Linked DNA regions of Pelodiscus sinensis. The protein of the gene in region 4 interacts with the protein of the main gene of each other region in a pairwise test. Links are inferred from orthologs where the notes say so. Each region holds a gene or a part of one and is shown on either strand. Other genes may lie near its edges. The genes, in order: NECAB2, CLIP4, KANSL1 and KIFC3.

Region 1 (7,454 bases), about 7.6 Mb from region 4:
AAAATCTCTCTGCATATTGGTATCTCAAGAGAAAACAAACTGCTTCCTTGTTAAAGTGCCAGGTATGGTAAAACAAGCGAAATGTACCGTTAATAGCTAGGCATTAGGGCAGTTTGAGTTAGAGTTCATTTGCCATTTTATATTCTTCTGACAACAGTACGAAGAAATCACTGCCTAAGGTTTCAAAGAGAATGCATATGTAGCCACATACCAATGCTGACTTTTATGGGAGCTATTTGATTAACTCTCTCATGGCCCATTGGGAAATGTAGCTGTCTTGTGTCTAATTTCACTCTGAATTATCTGCATTTTGCCATTTAGCCACCAGTTACATATTTCCCTCCTAAATTCAATGCTCCCATGAGCATTGTATGTGAAAAATACATTGTCCACCACCTAAATTTAGCTGCCCCATGGAAATTGCCAATGTTTTTCTAGTGTCACTTCATATTACCAAAACATTTTTTCTAGCATGTTATGCTGGAAGGCAGTGTTATTTTGCCACATGTTGTATACAGAACCCAAAGTTTCCAGTGTGAATGAATTCTCATAACAAACTGCTAGGAAAAGGCACTGGAAAGACATTATTTGTAAATGTATTCAGCGAACAATTCTTAATAACAAATAAATGCGAGATCATCATGAGCTGAAAATGGAAAATAGGATAACTAACTGAATTACTCACATATGCATTTAGCAAAGATGGCATTTTTAAGGAATGGCTAAAGGGCAAAGATAAACATATGAATATTTGGAGCAAGTAAATACCATTGAGAAAGTGGCATAATTTAGTGAACGGGGGTATAATTAGGTATATAGAGAAGTTTATGGTATTTATCACTACTGCACAATCTGCTGAGCTATGGAATAATCTCTCAAGAGAAGTGTTGCCTCTCTTGACATACTTTAAAACTACTGATTTAGAAAAAGTACACTGTGGAACAATTGCCCACTAATAAGGAAGACTGGCTTGACCAAACTGATCTTTTCCAGCTCCAAATTCTTTAATCCACTCAAAATTCCAACCAGAATGGGCAACATGGCCAGTCAAATTCCATCCCACAGCTATTTTCTAAGGGAGATAGCTACTGCTTTGGGAAAATCCAGGAGATGGACCGGATATCACTGAAGTCCCTTTTACACCTTGCTCAAAGAAAGGATAAGATATGAACCTTATGTCTTCTCTTATGGTTTCTTTGCTGTAAGGCTTATGGTTATGTGGAACGTAAGTGGTGCATAGGTATCATGCTAGCCCCATCAGAGGAATGAATTTCACTGTAAATGAGCACAGCCCAGTTAGCATATTGCAGGCAGTTTCAATAAACCAGATTTTTTGTCATTAATTTTGAGTTGCTGGGCAAAAAATAAATTCTGCAGCCAAAGTACTGCCTAACTGAGGGGGTACTGAGGATGAAAGTAGTATCCCACTGCCAGTCTTTATGTGTGCTCTATTTATAACACATTTCCGGAGCCCACTGCTATTATATGCTTATTCCAGCAGAGAGAACTGAGCTCCTCGTCTCTTGTCTTCAAGCAGCAGCTGAACACCTACGCTTTTGAAATGAAACAATAAAAAAGTTTCTTCCTGGTTCACTTGATCAAAGAAAAGATGAAGCAAGAAGTAGACTTCTGTATGTCTACACAGGGGATTTGCTCTGGAGTGGCTGCTTTAGTGTAACAGTCCCTAGTGTAGACAAACAACACAGTCCAATGCATGGGCTCCCATTATAAAAATACTAAATGATAAGAGAGAGAAAGGAAGAGCAATTAATGTGCAGGTTGGATCAGGCCTTTTGTGCAGGAGTATCTTGGATTATAACATACAGTGACTCTCAAAGTGGGCGGAGGTGCAGAGATCAGCACAGAACCTTAGCAATGAAATTTTCATGAAGGAGCCCGGACAGCTTCAATCTATGTCCATGGCAGCCTGCTCTTAGTATAAGGGCCAGGGCAACACTGAGGACCACCAAATAAAAGGAGGCTGGCTAGCCAAGAATCCTCAAAGGAAGCTTGGAGTGTTCATATTAGCCTAGTACTCCGGAGCCAGTACCCTAGGGCAGAGATTCTGGAATTACTACCAATGTTCTGTATAGTACTTCTTTGGTGATTTATGGAAAAGTGGCTGGTTATATGCTGTTGGGTGGCTTCTTTCCTTCCAGGTACAAAGTTGCATTAATGCTGTGAAAAATTTCTTCCATGTAAATGCAATTGCAATAGCTGCCGCAAATGTTTGCTCTAAGGGTATGTCTACGCTAGCCTCCTAGTTCGATCTAGGGAGGCTAATGAGGGCAACCAAAATTGCAAACGAGTGCAGGATTTAAATATCCCGTGCTTCATTAGCATGTTCCCGGGTGGTCGCCATTTTAGAAATTGACTAGCCCGAAGTAACTGCCCGCGTCTACACGCAGCAGTGAAACGGGATTCTGAATAAAAGCCCTAAATCGAATTAGCTCGTATTCCTCCTGCAATGAGGTTTACCAGCTAATTCGATTTAGGGCTTTAATTCGGAATCCTGTTTCACTGCCGCGTGTAGATGCGGGCAGTTACTTTGGCTAGGCGATTTCTAAAATGGCGACCACCTGGGAACATGCTAATGAAGCACGGGATATTTAAATTCCACGCTTCGTTTGGGATTTTGATTGCCCTCATTAGCCTCCCTAGATCGAACTAGGGGGTTAGTGTAGACATACCCTAAGTGGTCCCTGCATACACAGCCCAGAGGGGAGGTGATCAATGGCATGCAAAACCATGATTTTTTTCTATTAAGAGTGGGTGCATTAAAATGCTTTGGAACTCCCCAGTCATAGAGGATCATGGAACAAAGCCTAGTTCTGTCTCAACTCAGCCAACTACAAGCAAAATATCTTGTAACACGAAAGGAGGTAGCCTTGAGGACACCATTAATATTTAAAACATATATGCATATTTATATGATTTATGTATATCTATAATGATGAATCATTTTGAAATAGCACACTGACATACTAATAGCAAAATAAAACAAAGTTCACTGGAATTAACATCAAAACACAGCCTGATCTGCTCTGTGCACTGACCCTAGCAGTACACTTCTAATTAGAGATGACTCCATGAGGTTTACAGTGAGAGAGTCTGGAGCTGCCCTTTGCTGCTTGGGTCAATCTCTTCTCTTAATTTTCTCCATTATTGTCCTTTCAGTTTGTATATTTTTTGTGTGATCAGTCTGTGCTGGTAGGAAGCTGAAGTGGGTTAATGGCCGTCTGGCAAAGGATTTATCTCTTGTTCTGTGTTTGTAAACAGCACAACGTGTCTCTCTTCACAAGCAGCATTATAGGACTAGTAATATTTGTCCAGTTGAGCAAGGCAGGTCGCTTAGCAGCTCTACAAAGAGCCAAGTGAACCCAGCTGGCTGGTTTTGTTAGGGCTTTGTGTCCAGAGGTGGAGGTAGGCTGCATTCTGAGTTGCCCTGCATAAAAGAGTTGAAATTTTTGGTCTGGTAATGATGAAGACAAAGTAGAGGTATTTTTAAAATGCAGCAAATTGTCTCCAACAGCTTGTGGGAGAGAGAGCTCCTAGCTCCTTCAGCAGGGCCACGCAACCCAAATGCGTGTGGTATTGTGATCCTGTGTGCCAGGTCATAGCACCAACCATTCCAGTTTGGGCTGTCAGGACGAGTGGATTCTAACCCTGAGTGTGGCAGAGGACTGGAGGCTAGTGCCTAGGGCTGGAGGCCAGGGCTCTTGCCTTCTCACCCTAGAGGCTGCAGAGGAATGGGAGGGGGCTGGGAGCCAGGGCTGGGAGCCAGGGCTCTTGGGTTCTGGCCCTACAGGAGGCAGAGGAATGGGGGATGGGGTCCAGGGCTGGGAGCCAGGGCTCTTGGGTTCTGGCCCTAGAGGTAGCAGAGGAATGGGGGATGGGGTCCAGGGCTGGGGGCCAGGCTCTTGGGTTCTGGCCCTAGAGGTAGCAGAGGAATGGGGGCTAGTGCCTAGGGCTGGGAGCCTGGGTGCTGAGGAAGGGGCCGAGGGCTGCAGCGCCGACCACCCCGCATAAAGCAGCGTCCCCCACTCTCCCTCCCGGGGGACCCCTGAACCCGGCCCGGCTGCTCCCCCGGGAGTGCGCAGGGAGGGGTTTGCGGGCGAGCCGCGGGCGGCTGTCAGGGTGATGCAGCCTGTGTGGGAGGGGATACCCCGGCTCCAGCATGAGGACTGTGTGAAAGATGTGCGAGCAGGCAGCGCGCTACTGCAGGGAGAGCGTCCACAAGATCCTCCACAAGCAGCAGCCGCAGCTCCGGGGGCTGGACGGGCTGCTCCGCTGGATAGTCACCAAGATGAGCGACAAGAGCATCCTCTCGGAGCGGGAGCTGCCGCTGGAGGGGCAGGCGGCCGCCGGGCAGGGCTTCTGCCCCCCGGAGCAGAGGAAAGGCACCTCGGTCATCCTGGATGTGAGTTCCCGCAGGGCACGGGCAGCAGCGAAGGGGCCCGGGCCGGTGCGAAGAGCCGCAAAGTGGGGGCGCTGCGAGCTGCCCCCGGGCCCCCTTCGCACGGCCCCGCTTCCGGCTCTGCAGCAGCGAGGCCGGGCAGGGAGCAGGTGGGGACCCGGGCGGGGTGGGTCTTGCTGGGGCCGCAAATCTTGCCAGGCTGGGTGCAGCTGGGAGGCGAGCGGCCCCGGCCCTGCGGGCTGAGCGGGAGCTGCTGAGCCCGGGGCAAGGCGGCCGGGTCAGTGGGGCAGCCCTGAGATCTCCATCTCTCCCGCGCCTGTGGCTGCCAGGAGTCGCCACCGAGCAGCCCGGGACAGTGCCCCCGGCCCGGGCTCACTAGGGGCGTTCAGTGCCCGAGCCAGCCTCGGCTTGCGGGGGAGCCGCCTCGAGCGCCTTTCTGCCGTGTCAGTGTCTCCCTCCCCCTTCTGTCGCCGGGACAGTCCCGGCTTTTCCTCCCAGCGTGCCTGCCGACCTGCAAAGAATCTGGTGTGTGGCTCAAAGCTGCAGGGAGAGATGGGAGCCAGAAAGAGTGAAATCGAGGTGGCCCCTCCATTCAGACCAATATGTTAAGGCAAACACCTGCTCTGCAGTTTGAGATTAGATCCATGAGGCTTGTTTGTGCTCTTTTCTGGGCAGGTTCTGGCACTTTTACAACACTGAAACCGAAGAATAGTTCCAGGGTTCCCAAGCATGGATTAAATTGCTTGTTTATCGGTGTGATGGAATTGCACTTCAGTTTTGGGAAATGGACTATCACATCCAATATATTCTTATTGAAAATTTAAAAAAAGCACAATACATGGCGTTTTTTCTGGTACATTTCCTACAGTGAAATTATAGTTTTCAGTTGAGGTGCATATATCTCTGGGGATACACAGAGGGCTTCATTTAGATACTAACCTAGTTTTACAATAGGCTCCAAAAAGCACTAGTAAGATCAGTAGAAACTAAAATTTCATACAATGACTGATTTATACTGCTTTATCTCCTATACAGTGAAATGTAAGGACAATGCTTATATTCCAATTGATTTATTTTATGGTGCAAATGATTATTTTATGGCATAAATGATAAATACAGAAAAGTTGCTTGATGGTGCAGTGACACTTTTTGTACGTTTCTCTGATTTTATAAGTCGTTTTTAAGTGAGGTGAAACTTGGGGGTACACAAGACAAATCAGAGTCCTGAAAGGGATTCAGTAGTTTGGAGAGGCTGGGAGCCACTGCTAAATAGTGGATGTTTTTGAATGTTAAGCCTCACATGAGTTTGATGATTTGGCATTTAAAGGTACATTAAGCATTAGATATTTCAATCTACATGAAATCTGTGTGGCTATGTCTGCACAGCAGCATTATTTAGGAATCACTGATGTTATTCTGAAATAACAATGAGTGTGTCTACACTGCAAGCCATATTTTGAAATAATGGCAAGTCGAAGGATTTCTTACTCCAACTCCTGTAACACTCATTTTATGGGGAGTAAGGGAAGTCAAAGGAAGAGTGTTCTTTCTTTTACTTCCTGCTGGGTAGACAGAACCAAAAGTCCAATTAAAATATTTCTACTTTAGTTACACAATTGATATAGCTCAAGTTGCATAATTGAATTTGGCTTTTACCCTGCTGTGTAGACTTGCCGTATTTGAGATACTTAAATATGAAAGAAAAGTATAGGAGATATTAATTGTAATAAAATCCTTGACAGTAAGGGATACATAGTAAATGAGTTCATTCCAACCTTTGGGGTAGATTTCTTCTCTCAACTAAGCAAAAAATTAGCATATTCTTACATTAAGCAGAAGTTTTTTAAAAAGGGAATTTGTTACAGAATAAAATAACTATTAATCTCCCAAGGCTCAGGCAAGTAAATTTCAGACAGGAATTAAATTTAATTTAGTAATTAAATGAATAACTTGGGGGAAACATAGCCATTCTGTATCAGGCATGAATTCTAGATTCCTTTGAAAAATAAAGGTGATTACACAGATTACCTTTTGCAGTGTTCTTTTCTTGAGAGGTTAGGACATGTTCTCATTATGTGCGTCATGATGCTTGTTAAATATAATTAGGTTTTCTCAAATTTTCTTCTCTGCTGTTCTTATGACTATAATAATCTCAATTTTTAATCATAGAATCCTAGTATAAGAACTTAGGTAATTTAACAATCTTTACATCTCATGTTTATCCATAGTCCTATTTCATACCAGTTAAATAACTTGCACCTCTACAAGTAAACTTTGAAACTTTTCTTAATAGCATTTTCACCAAAAATATAGAACTCTCTGAAGAATAGTGAAACGAAAAATTAAGGACAGGTATATTATGACTTTCACACAGTTGTTTTTAGCACATGCAAGTAGTTTGTGACATTTATGTCAGTATTGTTATGGAATGTGTATTTAATACTTTTTAATATTTTCTGTTAGCTGTTTTAGTAAATTATTTGCATTTAAATGGAATTAAAAGAGAACAGAGTTGGGGGGGGGGGGGGCAGTACAGGCAACTCCTGAAGAAAATATAATGAAAACTGTTATATTATAGTTTCTGATATGGTGGCATGTAATAAATAAAACATACACATCAGTTTTGCAGTCTTCCATCTTTAAAAAAATATAACCATAAACCTGTAGTGATCATAAAAAAATAGCTAGTAGCTAGAGTCTGTTAATATCCCTGAGTCCAAACCAACAATATCTCTTCTATACTAGTCCATAGATTTCCTGACAAATCTTATTGAATCATGCCATAATCCACAACAGGCATTGGCACCTGCAAGAGACAACAAAACTCACTTTATTTGTGATCTAAGCCCAATTCTGGGCTCAAATTGAAAGAGACGATGGGTTTATGAGTTAATTAGTTGTGTCAAATTAATCTTCTTCTGATTGTCTTTGGCCTAAGTAATACAATTAAATGTTGCTCCCAATCTACATTTTAGTGGGCTGCCATTTAGAAATATTTGATGTATAACATCTAATCAACTAATGTGTTTTTGTGGAT
Region 2 (7,577 bases), on a different chromosome or scaffold from region 4:
AATAAGGTCACGTGTCTGGCCAGAAGGGAGGGTGCAGGAGGAGACTTGGAGCAGGGTGCTTGGCCAGGAGGAAGGGTTGAGGAGGGGTCTTGGCAGAATATCTGGCCAGGAGCGGGTATTGGGGCAGGGTGTCTGGCCAGGAGGGAGGGTGCAAGAGGGGACTTGGGGAAGGGTGTCAGAGCAAGCTGGGAATGTGGGGTCTTGTCATGGAGAGGGGAATGAGGGGGGTTTGGGTGTGGGGTCTGGGCATGAGGGGGGACGCTTACCTGGCTTGGTACCCTGCTGCAGCAGGGAAAGCCTGCAGGGAGCATGCTCTTGTTCCTGGGAGGGGTGTGTGTGTGGAGAGAGCTCAGTTCCACACCGCCCATGCAGCGGGGAACCCAGCGCAGCTGCAGCAGCAGCACCAGGCCAGGCTTCCTGCTGGCGGGGGGTGGGGAGGGGAAGGGGAGAGAGGAGAAACCCTGACCATCCCCGCCAGATTAAACTTTGCCATTTTCCCAGCAGGCTGGGGAGGGAAGGCGCAGGGGAGATAGAGGAGCAGCACATGAGGGGCAACAGAGCCCAAGACTGCCCCGGGGGGGGGGGGGCAGCAGAGCCCAAGCGTGCCCCAGGTGGGGGGGGGGGAGCAGAGCCTGAGCTGGGTTCCCTGCAGGCAGCAGTTTTAAAATGCTATGGTGTGGGAACAGCTCCTCTCCTCTGGGGTGGGGGAGCAGAATTTTTTCTTTTCTCTCCATGGCACTGAACACAGTTTAAGAAACGCTAGTATAGATATTTAAAAAGTGTATTAGAGAGGTACCCAAACAATATTCGGATCTGACTTGGATAACTTTGGGTGTATCTGGAATTTGACCCTGTTCAGGGTCACAGCCTACTTCTATTTGAATCGTGTACTTTGGGAGTACCTCTGATGTGTTCATACACAATAATAACCATTCAAATTACTTCAAGGGTAAAAGAGTATATCATCTATATGCAACACACATATCTAGCCATCTTGAACAGCAGTCAAGGTATTTGTTTCTTGTAGCTACTACCCAATTTAAAGAGTTATCTGCAGGTGGTGGGTAACTCATGTCTGTATAGCCCCTTTCTGAGTGACTGTTCAGTTCAGAGCTAAATGATAATATATTGAGGTGACCTAGTGTTTCCTATTAGACCAGATTTCTGCATGCATGTGACGGGGTATATCAACCCCACATTGGACTTGTAAGAATTAACCAGGGCTCCCTGACTGAAAGAGCCCCCGCCCAGCCCTTGTCTGCCCCCAGCTGGCGGGCAAATATCAAGGCTGGTGGAGCAACTCAGTCAGGGCTGACCACTGGGGAAGAAGGTGCTGCCAGATCTCTGGAGGAAGAGCTGTGGACGGACCGACCCATGGAGGCCAGACAGTGGGGAATAGCTGGAGAAGCCCCCAGTCTGAAGGGAAGTGGCGAAGGAGGCTCCTTCGGTGAGTCTGGTAGGAAGTAGCCAAGGATGGGGAGACAGATCCCTGAGAGCTCAGTGTGTTTCAGGTGAATTCTCCGCTGAACTAGTGGCAGGCCACCCCGTCACTGACAGGGCTCTAGACTGGAACCAAGTCGAAAGGGTGGGCCTGGGTCCCCCTACTCCATCCCCATTAACCTCCAAGGGGGATGCAACAGTGACTGTGATTGCTAGGCCTTACTGCCCTGAAAAGAGGGAGCTTCTTACTGACTGCAGCCACTAGGTCTCACTGCCCTGAGAGCAGGGAGCGTTGCTACAGACTCTGGCCGTGAGGTCTCACCACTCTGAGGAAACGGGGCAATTACAGACTCTGGCCACAGGGTCTCACTACGCTTGAGGAAGGGGGTGTTTTACTGACTGTGGCTGCTGGGTCGGACTGTCTCAGGGGAGACGGGGTGTAGTTATTGTTCCTGAGCCAAAGGTACCGATACACACATGGGGTGCGGCACTCTTTGGGAGGTCTTAGAGGCCTCGTGCCCTGCCCCTAAAGGGGCTAGGCATCCTGACCCCAAGACAATGGAGTAAACATCTCTTTTGTACTTGGCACAGAATGATGACAGACTTTGGAATAATTGGTCTAGTTCAGTGATCCCCAAACTTTTCACTGTCATGTCCCCCTTAGTTCTGTCTATGCCCCTTCCTCACACCTGAGAGTGGGGCTGCAGCTCCTGCAATGGAGGACAAAGGAGACCAAGGCAGAGGCCACAGCTGGGGGTAGATATGGGGCCTAGAGTGGGACTGAAGCCAGAAATGGAGCTGCGGCCAGGGAACAAGGTTGGTGGCAGAGCCAGAGCCACAGCTGGGCCCATGGCTGGGTGCAGCTCTGCTCCAGTTCCTGTCCCCAGCCTAAGGCCCTGGCCTGGGAACAGAGGTGTGGCCTAGGGCTGAGAATGAGGGTGGTAGTGGAGCTGCAGTCAGACCATGAAAAGGTTGCCAGATGGTTTAACAAAAAATATTGAACCCCCCCCCTCCCCCCAAAAAAAACATGCTGGGAAAAAATTCTGACGAGGAAAAAAAAGGGGGGGGGAGGGAGACCAAAGTTAAGCAAAAAAAAGGGGGGGGGAGGCCGAAGTTGTTAAGCAAAAGTTGCACCACTCTCTCCAGTTTGGGGCCACAAACTAACCCCTAGTGCACCCACCCCTCCCCCTGAGCCAGGAAACCCCAGCGCCAGGAGCTCCCCGCCCCAATCAATTCCCCCTCTCCCCCATGCAGAGCCAGGCACCGGAGGAACGGGACGGCTGGGTAAGTTAATCTGACTTTTAAAGTCGCTGCTCCTGCTGCTTAGCCTGGCTGCCTTGGCTCACAGTGTATAGATGGAGGCATCACGTGGCCAGCTCTCGGGTCTCTGCTGGTCACGTGGGCCAGAGCAGCGTGCACTCTGCTCCCACCCCAGCCCGGCGCTCCCCCTAGCGCGGTGCCCGGCAAGTGCCCTCTCCTGCCCCCCTTCGCTACGACTCTGCTGCGCTCCTCACTCCCCTGCCCCTGCCAGATGCAGCAGGGGAAAATTGTCCCCGCTGGGCTTCCGTCTGAGGGAATCAGGAAATACCAAACATTTCACGTGTCTGGTATTTTCTGGTTTTTTATTTTTTAACCGGACGGAGCCCGCAAATACCGGACTGTCCTGGTGAATACCGGACACCTGGCAACCCTAGACCATGCTGGGGGCCAGCAGCCAGGCACATGGCTGGGTGTGGAACCGCACTCAGGCTGGGATGGGGCCAGTCCGGGAGCCTGGTTTATGGCTGGGAGTGGGTGGTGTTGCAAAGCAGGTGGTGCTGCCTCCACACTCCGCTGTAGGGGCTGGCCTGGGCCCACTGTGCCTTCACTCCCCAGATTGTTCCTCCATGCCCTGCTAGGGGTGTGTGTTTGACAGTTTGGAGGCCTCTCGTCTAGATCCTTATTTTTAAAAATTGCATTTGGTTTCATATTAGTTTGTGCTGGGCCTTTTAAACCAGCAGTTTAATTTGTAACTAGTGTTGTCCCTATAACTTGGAAAAAACAGTCCATAATTCAGTGTGAACAATAATATCTCAACAGGCAGAAATGTATATGTGATCTTTATAAATTGGTGGTTTTTTCCAATGGGTCTCTTGTATGCTGTTGAATGTCCTGGGTCTTATGGGCCTAATCCTGATGGCTGTACACAACCCAAGCAGGGATAGTTCATAGGTGACAGGGAAGAATGGAATCACCTCATCACAATCCACACAAGTACTGATATGGTCAACATCACCACACCATGAATTTATCCTCACAACTGCCCTGCAAGTCTTTCAGGCAAAACAGTGGTAGGCCAGACTTACCCTTAAAAAAATCTCAAGTAGAAGAAAGCCCCTTGAGGCCTTTATGCAATGCCTCAGAGAAAAACAAAAATGAGCAGTTGAGCTAAATTAGCAAAAGGATCCTGAAGGTTTCCATCACTTTATCTAACATTAGTTAAAGATTTGCCTTTTGTAGGGAACCTAACTTATTTTTGCTGATCCCTTTGAGCAGTCACTTATGATGGGTTTCACTGCATACAGGAGGGACACTGTGTGGGGGGACATGACTACTCAATCAAGAGGATTGGGAGTTACAGCAACTGCCTAGATGTGCTTCCTGGCTTCCACCTTGCCTGAGATTTCCTATCTTGTATGTCAAAGCCCAGTCCAACTCCTTTGACCTTGTGAAGGTTGAGAGACCGTGGCAGGGTTAGAAACTGAAATCCTCTATTTGTCAACAGAGCCAGTGCAGTTCAGGCAGATGCAGTTTCAACTTTTCCACTCTCTCTTGCCAATACTCTAGTGTACAGCACAGACTTTCCATCCTTCCCCAGGAGTGAGAGGTGCTGTGAGCTCCTTGTACAGAGACTGTTTGCTGAGGTGGCAGCCTGCAGATTACTCGCATTTGCAGAATGGTTTCTGTGAAGTGAGACTGCTGCCAGGTAAGAGACCAAGCAATGAGGATGAGTACTGAAAACCTATTTTGATTAAGACTTTAGGTTAGGACATATACCAAGACATCTTTAATATTATAATCACCATCCTCAATACTGGAATTTACTTAAAAATATCGGGTCATCCTAGAGATGATTTTAGTACCATGTGCATTGCATTGTTCCCTTCCCTGTGGACACAAAGCCATGCTTTTAATGAGTGTTTACATGGCAGCACAGCTGTTCAGACCAGCCAAAAATGTCTGGTATTTTTATTTATGGTACAAAAAATGTATCTAAGTCTCAGTACCACAGAAGACACCTTGACAATGAATGGTCAGATTCCATTAATGCAGGAGACAGTGTTCTAGAAGCAGATTATTTACCACATCTCAGAGAGAGAAATTTGCAAGATAAATACTCATGTTTTTTTCAGCAAGATTGTATTATTCCTTTTTGATTTGCCATATTCTTTTCTGGATTATTTTAGTTTTCCTCTATTAGATCCTGTATAGCAGGTGGCAATTTGCTACATGGACTGTTGTCTAGCAGAGTGTCTAATGATCAGAGTAGAGAACTGAGTGTTAGGACTCATCAGTTTTATTTGCAGCTTATGCACTGACTCAGTGAGCATGAAAAAACTTAAAAAACAATACCTAGTCTTGCAGCATTTTAGAGACTAACAAAACATGTAGATGGTATCATGAGCTTTTGTGGGCACAGCCCACTTCCTCAGATGAATGAACTTGGCTATCTCATTGAGCATAAGAACGGCCATACTGGGTCAGACCAAAGGTCCATCTAGCCCAGTAGCCTGTCTGCCAACAGTGGCCAGCACCAGGTGCCCCAGAGAGGGTGGACCGAAGACAATGATCAAGCGATTTGTCTTCTGCCATCCTTATCCAGCCTCTGACAAACAGAGGCCAGGGACACCATTTCTATCCTCTGGCTTATAGCCTTTTATGGACCTAACCTCCATGAAATTATCTAGCTTCTCTTTAAACTCTGTTATAGTCCTAGCCTTCACAGCCTCCTCTGGCAAGGAGTTCCACAGGTTGACTACACGCTGTGTGAAGAAGAACTTTCTTTTATTAGTTTTAAACCTGCTACCCATTAACTTAATTTGGTGTCTTCTAGTTCTTCTATTGTGGGAACTAATAATAGCATGGACAAGGGTATCACATAACTTTTCTATGCTTTGTGTATCCTCCTCTGTACAGTGGGGAAAATGCATACTTGCATCCCAAAGTTTTTGTGAGGTCCAATGTGATATAATGTTCTTTGACATTTTCAGATGATGAAAAGAGCCATGTTAGAGCCAAAATACTGTTAAAAGTTTATAGTCAAAAGAGCTAGGAGAGAAGTATTCACCTCTTGCCCAGAATCCCCATCCTTATACTGACTATATTTGCAGGCATACACCAAAAGAAAGAAACTCTCAACAGGCTCCGAGGTAGTAGAGATGGGAAACCTATTTGGTCAGTGTATCCAGTCCTCTGCCATTACAGGGTTTGATTCACAGTAGAGAATATATGAGGTGTTAAACGTGATACTATGCTTGAGAGGAAGGTGGGGCTGCAAAGTGGAAACTGTCCAATAAGATTAACTTCTTTGCCTAACATTTAAAAGCTGTCTAGCTGGTACAGATTTTAAGTTGCGGGCTGTATAGTAAGTCTCAGCCCTGTTATCTGTAGGATCTATGTGCTGCTGGAGGAAAGGCAGGAACATCTGGTTCACAGCATTGTAATGAGTGCTTTGGGGAAGGCCATGGTCCGTATTAACTGGCCTTGGCTTCAACTGGGGCTTGAGGTCCAATAGTAATAATCGAGAAAAATGATAGAACTGATGACAATGTCTGCAATGTCCAAAGCTGTTAATTATACAACTGATTAAACAGCAATTCAGGCCTCATAGAAAACTTTTAGAAAGCATCTTATCAACAGGCAATGTTGCCTCTTTTTTAGCATATTGGTGCAGTCTTGACAAAGCAATAAATTAAAAAATAATATATTCCGTATTGCATCTTTCATATCACTGACTGCCTAAAAGGCATGACAATGTTAAATAATGCAGTCATAGGGTTAAATGTAAGCAAAGAGAGAGTCTGAGTGGTGGGAAAAGATACTTTGAAATGAAGTTTGTCAATACCATGGAGACCAGGAGGCTATTTCTGGTGGCAGAGGCAAAGCGAAAGTTTTTGAACGAACAGGGGTGAGACTGTATAAAGGGACAGAGAATAGGCAAGTGTAAGAGGAGTGCAGGAGACTGATTTTATTCTAGTATGAAATTGTTGCTAGGTCTGTCATCTTTGTTCCCTACTCCTGCCACCTATTCCTCAGCTGAAGTCACAATCCTGTGTTTGTGACATTGTTCTTGTAATTATTCATCATAAATGGCAGTGGGTCTGTGATGAGAAGTTTGGATCCTGATCCAAAATGTTTGGATGCTGTAACCCAGAGTTTTGGTTTGACATGGCCTAAAAGTACTATGACAACTTCCATGTCTATGGAGAAGACGCAGGATCTTATGGCTAGATCCACAATAGTACTTAGGGACCCAACTGCCTCTTTAGGAGCCTAAGTCCAATGTTAAGACACTGCTGATGTTCTCACATCCATTGCTCAGCTGCCTCTTGACCCCAGAGGGACACAGTTTTCACCAGTGGGTGTGTGCAAAGTTGCCTAAGCACAGAATCTGCCCACAGCTGAATAGCTGCTCAGGGCCTCACTGAAACTTAGCATCCCAAAACAGGATTCTCAAGCAGATGTTTCCCCATCTCTCTTGCCTGTGGGGATCAGTGTTCTCAGTGCATGCCTACAGGATTGAGGCCTTCACATATGACAGCTGGGGTGAGTTGGGTTTTTTCAGGATCAGGCGTGTGTATCCTTGTCCATGTCCCAGCTCTGAACACTCACTTGTACTGTGAGAGACACAAGTTCACATTTGTACCCTAAGGACTAAATTATTTATACCATACCAATATGAGAACTTGAGGCCACTTCAGAATAATCCATAGTCCAGTGGCCAGGACACTTATATGGGAGACCAGGATTTAGATGAGTACTCGAATGGGGTGAGGTTTTTTGAGAAACCTGGCTTTGGTCACCTAATTCCAGGAGAGGTTCACAGCTGAGAAGTGAAGATAAGTGCCTCCCTCTAGCCCATCAGTCAGATACCCAGA
Region 3 (7,308 bases), on a different chromosome or scaffold from region 4:
ATCCTGCCTCTGGGAACGTCCATATTTTCTTCCTCTCGGCACAGGTTCAGAAGAGTAATTGTATGGATTCTAGCCTTTAGTTTATATCTCCATGGAGCTTGTATAGGTGGGTGAGATTTAGATCTTCTGTATTAAGGGCCCCAAGGATTTTGCCAAAGCCACCTTTGGACACCTTTGTCAGATGTTCTTTCCTACAGTATTAAAAATCAACACACTTGGAGCAGTTCTTAAAAAATTGTTTTGTAACAGCCATCTTCTTTTAAGATGCCTACACTGATGTAATCTACTTATTTGCTAGAGCTATAGTGTGCAATGTGATGCTCTGAAGACACCTGTGACTCCCACCCTGGAAAGCTGATGACTAGTTTTTCACACAAACAAATGATCACAGAGTTCCATGAATGAACTCCATGGATTGGGGTTGTCCACTCTATGGGTGAAATCTTGACCTCACTGAAGTTAGTGGGAGTTTTGCCATTGATTTAAGTGGGTCCAGGGTTTCCCCTTATACTTCAAATAGTCCAGTGATTCTGATCTCCTTAGAGGGACAGAACAGCACCAGTGTAATAGAATTCAGAGCAGTCTGAAAAATCCTGTCTACTGTGGATTCAAATCAACACATCCTTATTATGCTTATTATGATATACATAGAACAGTTCTGGCCTACTTCAACAAGCTGGAGTGTACCTAGTCCTCATGTCTCCACAGGAAAACTACTCCTACTCACTATGGCAAAGAATAATCTCTACTCAAGGAAGAATGGTTTTGCACAGAATCTAATTCAAATCCATACAGCTGAACTTAGTCACCCTTTTTAAAGATATCTAGAAGGTAAAAGTTGCTTTGTTACATGATTGCCACACTGCACTATCTTGACTTTTGGGGTTCCATCATTGCAAAGAGATCAGTGGATGCCCAAACCTTCTTCTGTGTTGCAGTCCAGTGGTGCTTCTGGCACAGCTCACCTTTCCTCAATTTAAAATGTTAAAAACATGACTCTTTTAGATGTGATCAAGCGGATAGAGCATGGAGCTAAAAACGAGGAACTGAGATCTAGTTCTACCATCAGCTCAGCTTGGATAAATCACTTATCCTTTCTTTGCTTCAGTTTCCCCAAATGGGGATATTTATACCTATCTCATAGCAGGGTCATGAGGTTTAACTCATTAACCCTGCTAATAGTTGAACAGTGCTTACAAAATGTAGAGTACTGAGTAATATTATTTAATCACTCTCAGGCCCTGGGTTAGACTCTTTCTACCATAATGCATGCTATAATAATTTGTCCATTTCTATGCAAAGAATATTAAGCATAAACAGAACTCAACATTGCACTGTGAAGTGCCTAAAATAAATCCGATTACTTAACAATTTAGCATTTTTAGTCTTACATTTCAGGAAGGGCTTCATACTTTAAAATGGTTGGCCTTCTTTGTCTTCTGATCCTGGGAGGGGAGGTAACAACTACTGGAAATGTAAAGACTTCTTGAAAGCTGAAAGTTTATCAGCTCAGTATGTGACTTATGCCTCAACTGAAAAATCTCTGAATAGAACTTACAACAGACCCACTTCACATGCGCTGAGAAACCAGCTTTTCATATCTGGGTTTCCCGGACATGGATTCTTGCTGAAATTGCCACAGCAGCAGTAACCACTCTTACTCCACTGACAATGAAAAAATGTACAATATAACAGGAAAAATTAAATAATGGTCTTGCCTTCTCTAGGAAAAAAAAGAGATGTGTGTTCTAATACTTGTTAGCATCCTGGTGTTGATGTAGCAAGCTGTAATTTTAACATGTAAGCAGGTCAAAGCAATCCCTAGGAAAAAGTCTATCAGGCTAATGAGTTAAAACTGCAAATTGTCTTGTCTGCATTAGGATTTTAACATGTTAAAAACCAGGAGCAGAAGTAACTTCCTAATTAAATATGTGCACTATACTGGACTTAATTGCTGAGGTGGCACGTACCACCTGCAGCTACACCTGGTGCCCTGGCACTGGAACTGTAATCCTGGCAGGTTGAGGAAGGAAGGCCCTTGTGGTTGTGGTTAGAGTTTCCTGGAAAACAAGCAAGCTGGCTCCATGCCCACACTACAGCAATGGCAGTGCTATGGGCATTGCTGTCACATCACCACTCAGGTTTCAGCTACTCTTGGTTTACGAGGCAGTGGGGTGTGATCATTGGAAAAAGATTATATCTGGGCCTCCAATGTGTGACAGATATGTTAGTGGACCATCCTTGTGGGGCTTTTGCACTTAACCTATTAACAATTGCCCTGTCTCAGCTAGTAGTTTGTTCAGGGGGACATGAAGCAAAATGCAGGACAATGTAGCACTTTAAAGACTAACAAGATGGTTTATTAGATGATGAGCTTTCGTGGGCCAGACCCACTTCCTCAGATCAAATAGTGGAAGAAAATAGTCACAACCATATATACCAAAGGATACAATTAAAAAAATGAACAAATATGAAAAGGACAAATCACATTGCAGAACAGGAGGGGGATGCGGGGGGGGGGGGGGAAGAAAGGAAGGTAAGTGTCTGTGAATTGATGATATTAGAGGTAGGGAGAGTGGGATGTTTGTGAGTTAATGGTATTAGAGGTGATAATTGGGGAAACTGTCTTGGTAATGGGTGAGATAGTTCAAATGTTTGTTAAGTCCTTGTTGGCAAGTGTCGAATTTTAACATGAATGACAGTTCAGAGGATTCCCTTTCAAGTGCAGATGTAAAAGGTCTTTGTAGCAGAATGCAGGTGGTCAAGTCATTGAGAGAGTGTCCTTTCTGGTTAAAATGGCAAGAAACTGTTTTCTCTTTGTGATCTTGTCTGATATCTGTTTTGTGGGCATTAATCCTTTGGCGAAGTGTCTGAGATGTTTGTCCAATGTACATAGCAGACGGACACTTTCGGCACATGATAGCATAGATTTCTATCACTATTCAGGGGGACAGTCTTTGGGAGAACTGCTAATAGATTGTGTGCCCACAACAGGAAAAGCAACTTTTGTTTTTCTTCTAAAACCAGCAGGGATATGATATTCAGGGATACCTTCACTGCAGGAATCCTCCTGCTTTTCCCTCTCCCTCTTTGGTGAGTTTCCTAGCTCAGAGCGGCGTGCTGCGACGTGACAGGCGCGCCCCAGCTTTTCCTTCCCCCTGTAGGCCCAGATGTGGTGTGATGGCATGTGCGGGTGTGTGTCAAAGCCTCTCTCAGCTTGGAGGCTGCAGAGGTCTTTTTGTGGTCCAGAGTGGTCCCCGTGCCCCTCAGAAGCAGAGATGCTGAGTGCAACAGGATGCCCTCTTTCTCACCATCCCTCTCCCTGACTCCCCCTGCCCATTTCACACAGTCTCCCCATTCCCAGGCTGTGTAGTTTGCCCCTTATCTCATTCAAGCATGAGGGTGAGTGAGTGGGGGGGGGGGGACTGATCCAGTGGATGGGCCCTGCCTGGCAGCCACATGCAGCCCTCCCCTTCCCTTAAACATCTCCGGGAAACACAAGCAGAGGCAGGGACAAGCCGAGACACCCGCATCAATCACCCCTCCCGCCCCGCCCCCTGACGCTGACAGACACCCCCTCCTCCAACCACACCGGCCCAGGCCCTCCCCACAGCCAATGAGAGGGGAGGAGGGAGGAAGATCCCCACTTCAAGGCTGGTTGAGCTGTGCAGGTAGGTGCTGGGATGTGGGAGCAGAGGCTGGAGCTGGTGCAATCGGGGGAGGAAAAAGGGGGAGCTGTGGAGGGCTGGGCGGGGGGGCACCTGGCCAGGGCAGGCCGAGGGGCTGCGGGGCAAGGCAGCGGGGGGGCTGTAGCCTTGCAAAGGCATGTTGCCGGGGAGAGGGAGCGTGTGGCTGGCAGAGGGACCGATCACCCCCTATGGTGCTGCCATAGACAACAGGCCAAGTAGTGCTAGGAGCCCCCGTCCTGCAACTTTGCACGAGGAGTCACTGGGGCTGGGGGCGAGGGTGGTGAGGGGAGGGTCAGAACTTTATTGGATCGGGCCGTGGAGTCGCCTGCCCTGCAGTGAGCACAGCCCCCTGTGACTCTTCCATGCAAGCAGAGAGGAGCGATTGCTCAGAGCTAATTCACCAGGCCAAGGCGGGGGGCGGGGGAAGAAGGAGGAATGGTTCTTGCACAGCCAGAAAGTGAGTTTGGGGGGGCGGTGGGGGACGGAGAGGTCGGGGGAGAGCAGGAACTTTGCAGCTAGACGTGAAACGCAAATAGACGGGGTGGGGGGGGGATCTGCAGCTGCTCAGTCACACACCACATTGGGGGGGGATATTTTGTGGCATTTTGCAACAATGGTGATGGCTAAACGAGCAGGCCAAATGCTGGGAGCTGCTGGGGCATCGGGCAGGGGGCATCCGCAGAGGGGGCCGGGAATGAGCTCTAACCTGGGCCAGCCGCATGCTGGGAGACACCCGGATCGTCTCCTCGCAGAGCGGATACACTGGAGGGGGCTCGGGGTGAGCGTCGTAATTTGGAGAGGGCTTCCAGTGCCTGCGCAAGGACACTTTATAACTCCCGAGCTGCAGCGAGATTGAGCCGTGGCTTGGAGTTTTCAGGCGAGTCATCGGTTGTGGCTTCTCAGGCGTTTGGGTTTTGTTTGTTTACTTGTGTTAAGGGAAACAAAATGACCACAGACATGCACGATCCCCAAGGCATGGACAGGAGCAAAAGAAGGCGAGGAGAGGCACTGGCACTAACATGGCAAAGGCGTCACAGAAGCAAACATGGCAAAGAGCCTGTAAAGACTTTAGCTATTCAGTTTTAGGAAATGGGATAGAAAATATTCTTAGATGTCTTCTATTTGTCCAGTCCTCCATTTTACCCAAACATTGAAAAAAATGGCATATTTGATACTCCCAAGGTGGGTTTTAGAATGATTTAAAACAAACAAAATCCTGGCAGAAATAACTCTATGACTTTTTTTTGTTATTGTAAATTATTCCCTTCCCCAGCCCCCAAAGACCTGATCCTGGAAAATAAATGTATTTCAGTGGGTGGCAGGCATTCATAAATGTGGCATAAAATTAAGTGATTGTGTAATTTCTCATGGAGGTGATTTCTTAAAAGAGAATTTTCATGAGAGCCTAAGGGAGTTAGGTGCTTAAATCCCAATCCTTTTTTTACATTCCTTTCATCTCTTTAACTGAATTATTTAATCTATATAGTGTGCAGATTTTTGTCTGCACTTTCCAACTATTTTGTCCTCCAGGAGTTTACAGAGGTGTGTCTATTTTTCCAGTTATTGTGATTCTTTACATAGTTTGTTTTGTGTGTTTGCTATATATTGTGCTTTTTTGGGTGAAGTTGGTGATAAAATGTCTACTTTCTAAATCCTGATTTTTTTTTTCTTAAGGCTAGTTGTATCATATATGTTTTGTTTGCAAGTTATATTTCTTTCCCTTGATTCTTTTTTTATTGTTGTTTTTTGTTATAGACAAAAGATTTCCACTTCTTGAAATCAGAAAGATTTGCGGAATTTGGTTGGATTTGGAAAGATTACAAGTCCTTCAGAACTCCATCCTGAGTCTTTTCTGAATTGCTCCAGACACTATGGATTTTATTAAGATGTCCTGCAAGGTAGGAACTTCTAGTTCTTCATTTTTAAACTGGTACCTTGTTTACAAACTTTTGTTCAATACAAAAATGCCTGAATTATGAAAAGCACCATGATAGTTGAGGTCTTTGTTTAGAATTCTGATGGTACCATTTATTCTCAGGAGAGGTTTAAAATCCAGGACCTCTTTAACACTTTCGTGAAACATAATTAACCAAAAAAGGAACTCCAGGAATACAGCTCAATACTGAAAGTGAACTTTTTAGGTTTGGGCTCTCTCTGAGGAAGAAAATTGGTGGTGTAAAATTGGAAAAAATACAATTAATTTCTGGAATTTTTATTTTTTTAAATATATATGAAACTTATTTTGAATTTGTATATGTATTTTAAGTGTGAATATAATATTAAAAAACCTATTCATTTATACTAATAACTATAATTTTAGGTGAGTATTTCAGGATCATTCAGCATGGTACCAGAAATGCTTTATCAGCTTTTGACACTGTCTCCTGATGTAGTGTACTTGGGAGGTCACTGTATGTTGTAAACAGGAGCGGCCCTAGACGAGCTGCCAGCAACTGGCGCCTTAGGCGAAACGTGCAATCGGCACCCCTGCCTCCAAAGCCCTCAACGGCCATTTATCTTGGCGCCCTAGGCGACTGCCTAGTACGCCTGTATTGACGGGCCGCCACTGGTTGTAAACTAGAAGTTGGGTAGTTCCTACTGAAAATGTGGGACCCAAGTAACTTCCTTAATATTTTAATCATTCACAGAATTGTTAGAAATTATTTTCCAGGGTGTAAATCAATTCAATCTGAAAGACTTTCTGGTCCTCTTTGTCAGGTTATCTGGAGATTTCCAAATGCATTAGAATTGTCACAGTAGCTCTATCCTGTCAGCGCCACTCTGACTGTATGAAGCTATAACCTGCTACTACCAACCGTATTGGTTTTTTTTGTGTGTGTTTTGTAAACACTTGATAGGGCTTGATGAGGTCAACACTTTATACAGAAGACAGAATATTGTGAGTACATTTGAAACATTTTAGAAATTATGAAGAAAAGGAGCACATTTACTGAGTCCCATCTAGTATATTTTAATGCAGTCCCCATCACTCCAGTTAGTGCAGGACAGATCCTCAAGGTATTTTGTCTAATACTTTGTCCAGCCTACTTTTAATTGACTCATTGAATAGAGCATTCACAGCTTCAGTCTGTCTAATCTCACCATTAAGAAACACTTTCTGATATTCTACTTCCCCCTCCCTTTTAGATTCATTCTACTGGTCCAAGGTTCCATTTTTGAATAACCCCCAAATAATGTATCTTTTCTTGTTGTGTACACCCCTGAAATGCTTGTATATGGCTGCCATATTCTCTTTGCTCTGTTTACGTGGATCCTAGTATTGTTACACGTGCTTATAATTTTGCATGCATCTGTCAGCATGGTTTAGTGTACTCAGCATTGGCATAGGAAATCTTCTAGTTACTATTTGTGGTGGATAAGTTATTTCAACTCTCTGTGCCTTGTTTTTTCCATCTCTAAAATTAGGATAATATTGATATGCCTGAACAAGGAGTTGAGGATTAGCTGATGTAGGTACGCTGATTTTGGGAGAAGCATTATATAAGTAGTAGTGATTATTACAATGTAGAATTGTATAGATTTGGCCAAGCTGTATGCATTTAATAGAAATCAAAAAGGGCAACAGTCCTAAAAGAAGACAGGGTCACAATCCCTTGCC
Region 4 (7,327 bases):
TGGCACGGACGCTTTTCCGCAAAAAGTGCTTTTGCGGAAAAGCGTCCGTGCCAATCTAGATGCTCTTTTCCGCAAATGCTTTTAATGGAAAAACATTTCCGTTAAAAGCATTTGCGGAAAATCATGCCAGTCTAGACGTAGCCTATGTGTGTAGCTTGCACCAAGAGGCCCACAGGAAAGCGATCACGTCTCAATAACAAATACAACGCCAGCCCTGCAACACTTCACCCGGCATGCATTCCCACCCTCTTGCTCAGCGAGGAATAGCTGCTATAAAGTACCTATCCCTATGGGTCTAGATCCTGGGGAGGCTGCATGGGGGGAGACTTTACTCTCTCATATGCCCCTGCACAGCCATATAGTATAAATTGAGCCTTACCATTTCCCTGGTATCACAGCAGTTAATTTTTAACCAATGGCACAAAAACTATGTAAAACAAAATAACCTATTTGCAGTTTTTAGAGAACAGACCTTTTAAAAATAATCCTACAGGTTTCTACTTTATACCTATTGTTTTGAGTAATTTAAATTACCTGGTATTGAAAAGCGTGGTGAGATGTAGAGACATACACTTTCTGTTGCAGCAGTACATGATATCTGCTATTACAGTGTTTTGGTCTCATTAACAGGTTACACTTGGGAACTTTAGACATAAAAGCTGAAGAATGATGCTGTACTATAATAGCTTGTTTACACTGCTGATTAACAGTAACAGGCAACCAGTAATAATTACTCGATGCTTGTAAACTTTTCTCAGGAGACACTAAATTGTTACAGCTGGTAGAAAATGTTCTCAGCAACATTTCCTAGTAGTTGTTGACTATCTTGACCCCTAATGGCAGCTGTAGGTATTAATGCCAATGCAGCAAAAGTAGTGTTACCTCATAGTTCTGCAAGCAGACCAATATCTAGTGACCAATATTTAGCAACCAAAGCAATTCAACAGCAATGCTATTTAATTTTGTTGGGAAATACCCTAGTTCTGATTGCCCATTTGCATACTATAATTATTATTTGCCTGCTGTGTTTTGCGTATATGACTTTGAATTTGTACTTGTAAAGTGTGATGTAAATAAACACCCATCACAGTTTTATATATTATCTTCTGTCACATTTTTCTTTGCATGGATATACCTGTTTCATTAACATAGGCAATATTGGCCTCTCTCTTAAATGCAACGAAGAAGATTTATGTGTAAATCCTAATATAATGCTGTGTTCATTCTGCTCAGGTGCATCTACATTGCACCCATCGCTCGAAATAAGCTATGCGATTTGAGCAACGCAAATTACGTAGCTTATTTCAAGTGAATTTCAAAATAGCTTATTTTGTAATTTCAAAATAACCTGCTATTCCGAAACACCCCTTACTCCTTGTGGAATTAGGGTTGCTAGGTGTCCAGTTTTTGCCCTGTCTGGTATTTCCTGTTTCCCTCTGACAGAAGCCCAGCCGGGACAATTTTCTCCTGCTGCATCTGGTGGGGATGGGGGAGTGAGGAGTGCAGGGTCATTTAAAGGTGCAGCACCCCTTTTTTTTCTCAACAGAATTTTTTCCCGGTGGTTTTGTGTGTGTGTGTGTGTGTGTGTGTGTTTGTGTGTGTCTGGGGGGGTGTTCGGTATTTTTGGTTAAACCTTCTGGCAACCCTATGTGGAATGAGGTTTACAGGGACGTCCAAATAGTGACCCCCTTATATTTTGAAATAATGGGTGTGCTGCTAAGACATGGGACAGCTATTTTGGGATACCTTCAGTATCCCAAAATAGCGCCACAGTGTAGATGTAGCTTTCTTGGTTACATATAAAATAAACCTCACACGTTTTCTTGCTTACAATTCATAATAGTTACCAAATTCCATGTCCCCACATCTGGAGATGATCTGGGCCCTACAAGAAAGAACTCAATGTGTTTCATTATACAGGCTGGATTTTTTTTAACCCTAATAGACTGTCTTGATGAACAGCATAAATCAGATTCTAAAACCTCATAGCAGAAAGAGCTTTGTGCCACCTAGGCCTTCCCGAAAAAACTTCCCCTGCGTCCAGACTCAAGCCGCGTTCTTTCGAAATTATTTTGAAAGAACGCGGCTTTTCTTTCGATGGCGGTAAACCTCGTTTCACGAGGAAGAACGCCTTCCTTCGAAAGTTCCTCTTTCGAAGGAAGGCGTTCTTCAATGTAAAGAGGCCGTCTTCGAAAGAGAGCATCCAGACTCGCTGGGTGCTCTCTTTCGAAAAAGCGGATTTCCTTTATCGAAAGATCCGCCTGCAGTCTAGACGCGATCTTTCGAAAGATGCTCTTTCGAAAGATGCTTTCGAAAGAGCATCTTTCGAAAGAAGCCTGCAGTCTAGACATAGCCCTAGTTACTATGTACTTTACACTGATGTGCATTTCTCAAAACGATCACTTAATTTCTGGCAGTAACATTTCCTGAATTGAACTGTGAGTGTTTTATGAGACTGAATTAATTTTCCAGCCATGACTCAACATCTGTGCAATGTAATTTACTGACTCTATTTTTCATTGCATGAAGTCTAGTGATTCAGACTCATGATACTTAGCATCAGGCGTTGGACTGCCCTCTCATTAGATGTACATAGCAAAACAAACCGGATGCAATCTAACATAGATACCTAGGATGACTGGAATAGTAGCTTTTTGTCTTCTACCACAGCTGTCTTCAGGAAAGTCTGTTTCAGCAGAGAAAGAATAGAAAGGTGCAGGAAAAATAGTACTGCATTTGAACAGATTAGTGACAAGCAGAATCTTTAGATCTGTCCTATAGATTGGCTGTATCTTTTTAATGTACTACTGGAAATGTGCTCTGGGGAGTCTCTGATTAATTCTTACTCCTACCATTTTCACTTCCAAAATAAAACAAAAAATCCATTAATTAGCTAATTTAATAATACTTCAAGATATATTGCACAATCTGTAGCTAAGGCACTTGACACACCTGATTCACTGTTGGTTCTGGGAAAGCATTGTCAGGCACAGAAAACTGCTGCTGTTCATCTATGAAGGTGCTTTCTAGCACATCACTAAAAGACTTAAGGATAATTGTTTGAGGCTAGAGAGGAGACTGCATGAATTGCTATTTAGAAAAGTGTGGTCTCAAGCTGGTATTTGTGAAAATGTCTTGAAGTGAATTAATCTGGCCCTGGTCTACACTTGGGCATTATTTTGAAATAACCCCTTTAGGTCAAATTTACAGGAGGCCCCACGAGATGCGACCGCCCGAGTTCCGACCCCCCACATTTACAACCATTTTTGTAAGTGTGGAAGGGGCCGGAAACCACCGACTTACGTCCTTAGCCTGCATTTACGACGGCGCACGGTGCCTGCTGTAAATGCAGGTTCGAGTTACGACGCCCCCGACTTGCAATGCTTCCTCCGGAACGAATCGCGTCGCAAGTTGGGGGCTTCCTATATAAGCAGAGAGTCCATACTACCAAGCCTATTATTTTGAAATAATTGGCCATTTATTTTGAAATGTGCATTCCTGCTTTCCTGGGGGAATAATGCTAATTTCAAAAGAGTTATTTCAAAATAGCATTCGTGTGGACACTCTGGTGCTGCTATTTCAAAATAACTCCTCCCCAGAGGCATTCAAATGAATTACTCCCCAGTGCTTCCTGGGGCTCCGAGACGAGGTAGCATGTCCACATTAACAGAGCCTGCCTCGGACTAATTTCGAGGCTTCCTCGTAGTGGGAATGCTATTTTGATTTTTGTAAAATTGGGAGTTAAGTCAAATGTAATCATTTCGAAATAATTTCCTACTGTAGACATGCCCCTAGTAATCAAATTGCCCTCTCAGGGCTGGGTCCTTTCACATCAGAATTGGAATATATCTCTATGGTATTACGGCACAGGCTTACACTTGCCATATCTTGCTCTCCTTGTTAACCTTTTTTCTGGGAGTGCTTCATAAGCAGAAGCCCTCATTAGTTTATGCCATGAAACATTAATGACCTATTGGATGAACTGTGTATTCTTCCTCAGGGCGATATCTGATTTCGTGGTTCCTAGGCAGCCATCAGAGCTGGCATGAAGCTGGGACTATGCTGTACAGGCATGCATGTCTGACACGTTGTTTAGCAGGGATAGAGAAGAAACGGACATGGTATAGTGCACAGATCTAGAGCATTAAGACTAATCAGTGGTCATATACAAGAGATCCTGTTTCAGAGGAGTTTGAAAAATTAGACAAAATTAAAAGGTAGGTCACTTAACAGGAGCAGAGACAATCCTCTGAATGTTGCAGCTTTTGCACGAAGGCAGCTTTGTGATACGTTGCTTGTCAGTCTGTGAGGTTATGTTCAACTTCTGTATGAGAAATGTTATTTCGATACTAGTGTAATAATGACACGTTGTATAGATGAAGTGTGCTTGTGACTCTTTGAGTGGTTTAGAGCTGCCATAGTAGCTCCATGCTATCCTTGATACTGGTTGTTGGTGCAAGGCATGGTCACAGAAAAGGGGTCTGACCCAAGCATCTCTTTGTTCCAGTGACCCCCATCTGTTGGAATGCACCCTCGGGACCCTAAGTAGCCATCATAAGCTACCAGAGTCCTAAAGTTTGCTGATTTATGCTGTGGATTAAACTGGATTTTGATCCATTGGCCACCTGAATATGGGTATGCAAAGGTGGTCAGGTTACTTTTATAATACTCCCTTCCGAGTCCTGAGCTGTGTTGAATGCAAGTTGGCCATATCTTAGAATTTGGGCCACTGGGTTTAATCCATTCAGTTTGTGCATTTTAAAATGAGTATAAATGCCTCACAAGCAGCTTAATCTTTGTAAAGAGCTTTGATATCCTTGGATAAAAGATATTGTAGAGATACAGAATATTATTATTTTATTAATTTTATATAGGATTTGGCAAATCATATCTCAGCTGCTCCCAAAAACCTCCTCACAGTTGAAGGTTCCTATGCTGCAGTAAAACTCTAATAATGAGCTAGGCTGTAATGAAATGGTCTCTAGAGACACAGTCTCATTACAATTGATCTTTCTGGTGAGGATTTTCAACAAGGAGAGTTGAGACTTTAATTCTGCTCCTATCTGTGTTTCTGGATTAGGGGTTTTTTGTTTTTTGTGTTTTTAATATATATATAATCAGGTTGTTTGTCTGGAGAAGTGAGGGAGTTAAATTTTAGCCAGGCTTTTGTAGTTATCTGCCCAGAGGTTTTACAGTTGTAGGTTAAATATTTGCTTGGGGCAGAATGCCTGGCTAATCCAAAAGCACCAATCGCAGATGTATTTCGATTGTTGTAGATTCACTTAGTCCTATGCACTCCATTGGGCAAGTAAAATAAGAATTAACTTGCCTGACTTAACTGGCTTATTTCTCCTTATCTGAGAATTCTCTAAACATTTATGCTTAATGAAAGCGACTCCCATAGCACTGGCTCTGTCATAAAGTTTTGGTAATGCATATCAATTCTGACCCCAACATTCCAGCTAATGAAATTAAGGGATTTTTCTGAGCGGACAGTCACAACTGTGATGATTTTGTGCTATGAAAAACGATCTACTAAAAAGAACATTGAAACTTGCCAGACTTTTTTAGTGTATTCATTCAATTACACTTTAATACAATCCAAATGAACATTCATTAACCACAGCATGCCTGTCAATTACCCCTTTTCCCTCTTCTGCTCCAAATGGTCTTTCTTGTCTGACTGTTTACTGCCACGTAGGAAAATGTGAATTTGAGAGTTTCTTGACATGGAATTATCTGGGGTCACTGCAATTTTCAGCTCACTGCAGTGTATATGTACATTTCTATCACTATTCTGCAGTTTATATTGCAGTCAAGAATGCATATCTGATGGAACTGGTTCTGGTGAGTTCAGTTTGTTCCTTATGCAACACCAGTCCTTACTGTAGCCATGCTCGCTGTGGGACAGATGTTAAAATTATTTCCCACATTTTACTCAGTCATTGCTCAGGCAAGCTCTCATGACATACAGTGAAAGTTTGTCTGAGTAAAAACTAAGTAAAGATTTCAGACTATGGCTCTATATCATTATCATCAGTGTTTTTTTTGTAAAAAAAAAAAAAAAAAAGTGCCAGTACTCTTTAAGACCCAGCCAACTGTTAGCCATTTTCATTACAGAGGTGCCGGTACTCTCTGTTCTTTCCAGGTAAGCTCTGCGTACTGGGCAGTACCATCACAAAAAAAAGCACTGATTATCGTTATGTGGCTTGTGGAATATTTGTAGTGTTATTGCTGAAGTGAGTATGATTTTGTGCTCAGTAAAAACAACGAGGAGTCCTGTGGCACCTTAGGGTGTGTCTATACAGCAAAGTTATTTCGGAATAACAGGAGTTATTTCAAAATAACTATGTGAGCGTCTACACAGCAATTCCATTATTCTGAAATAATTTCTAAATAACGGACAGCTTATTCTGACTTTTGTAAACCTCATTCTACGAAGAATAACACCTATTCTGAAATAGCTGCTGCTATTTCGAAATAGCCCCTCACCAGGGCCATTCTAAGTTATTCCTCCTGGGGCTCTAAATCGATGTATCACATCTACATTAGGGAAGCCTGCCTCGGACTAATTTTGAGGCTTTTCTGCAGTGTAGACGTGCTATTTTGAAATAAGCTATTTTGGAATAACTATTCCAGAATAGCTTATTCCGAAATAACTGTGCAGTGTAGACATTGCCTTAGAGACAAACAGATTTATTAGGGCATAAGCTTTCCATTGGTAATTGGGTTTTGAAATTTTTTGTAGAAGGATGGCTACTTTCAAATCCATGACTGAATGCCCAGGACATCCTTTTACAGAAGAATTTCAAAACATGCTTACAAAGGGAGACAGCTGAACTGGAGCTCATTTGCAAATTCAATACCATTCAGGACCGAGTAAGGATCTGAACTGGTTAATGTACGACAAAGGCAATTTCCCCTCTTTTAATATTCACATCTCCATACCAAATGCAGTTAATGAGCCACTTCTACCCTGATTTGATTGGCTTCGTTAACGCCATATAAATACCCCTGCCTCTGTAGCTTCCACTCCAACTCATCTGATGAAGTGGGTTTTACCTATGAAAGTTTATGCCCTAATAAATCTGTTTGGGTATGTCTACACTGCCACACTAGTTCGAACGAGGGTAGCTAATGTAGGCATTCGAACTCGCAAATGAAGCCCGGGATTTAAATATCCCGGGCTTCATTTGCATGTACTTGGGCGTCGCCGTTTTTAAATGCCCCATAGTTCCTCCTTGCAGGAGGAATAATGGTAGTTCGAATTAGGAGCTTTAATTTGAACTACCTAGTCTGTGCCGCGTGTAGCTACGGGCAGGTACTT

What was found.
Region 1: the proteins of KIFC3 (region 4) and NECAB2 interact in binary tests that used the Homo sapiens proteins (3 or more experiments, as listed by UniProt). The two-hybrid records come from large-scale screens. The link is inferred for Pelodiscus sinensis from reciprocal best matches to the Homo sapiens genes KIFC3 and NECAB2.
Region 2: the proteins of KIFC3 (region 4) and CLIP4 interact in binary tests that used the Homo sapiens proteins (3 or more experiments, as listed by UniProt). The two-hybrid records come from large-scale screens. The link is inferred for Pelodiscus sinensis from reciprocal best matches to the Homo sapiens genes KIFC3 and CLIP4.
Region 3: the proteins of KIFC3 (region 4) and KANSL1 interact in binary tests that used the Homo sapiens proteins (3 or more experiments, as listed by UniProt). The two-hybrid records come from large-scale screens. The link is inferred for Pelodiscus sinensis from reciprocal best matches to the Homo sapiens genes KIFC3 and KANSL1.

What each region holds. Positions count from the first base shown.
Region 1 is NC_134722.1:38,260,992-38,268,445, reverse strand, and holds the start of NECAB2 (N-terminal EF-hand calcium-binding protein 2), read left to right. Parts: upstream 1-4,159; 5' UTR 4,160-4,195; coding exon 4,196-4,420; intron 4,421-7,454. UniProt on the Homo sapiens protein: May act as a signaling scaffold protein that senses intracellular calcium.
Region 2 is NC_134713.1:160,484,516-160,492,092, reverse strand, and holds the start of CLIP4 (CAP-Gly domain-containing linker protein 4), read left to right. Parts: upstream 1-4,286; 5' UTR 4,287-4,405; intron 4,406-7,577.
Region 3 is NC_134739.1:6,916,082-6,923,389, forward strand, and holds the start of KANSL1 (KAT8 regulatory NSL complex subunit 1), read left to right. Parts: upstream 1-4,241; 5' UTR 4,242-4,566; intron 4,567-5,444; 5' UTR 5,445-5,587; intron 5,588-7,308. UniProt on the Homo sapiens protein: Non-catalytic component of the NSL histone acetyltransferase complex, a multiprotein complex that mediates histone H4 acetylation at 'Lys-5'- and 'Lys-8' (H4K5ac and H4K8ac) at transcription start sites and promotes transcription initiation.
Region 4 is NC_134722.1:45,848,755-45,856,081, reverse strand, and holds the start of KIFC3 (kinesin-like protein KIFC3), read left to right. Parts: upstream 1-4,082; 5' UTR 4,083-4,217; intron 4,218-7,327. UniProt on the Homo sapiens protein: Minus-end microtubule-dependent motor protein. Involved in apically targeted transport. Required for zonula adherens maintenance.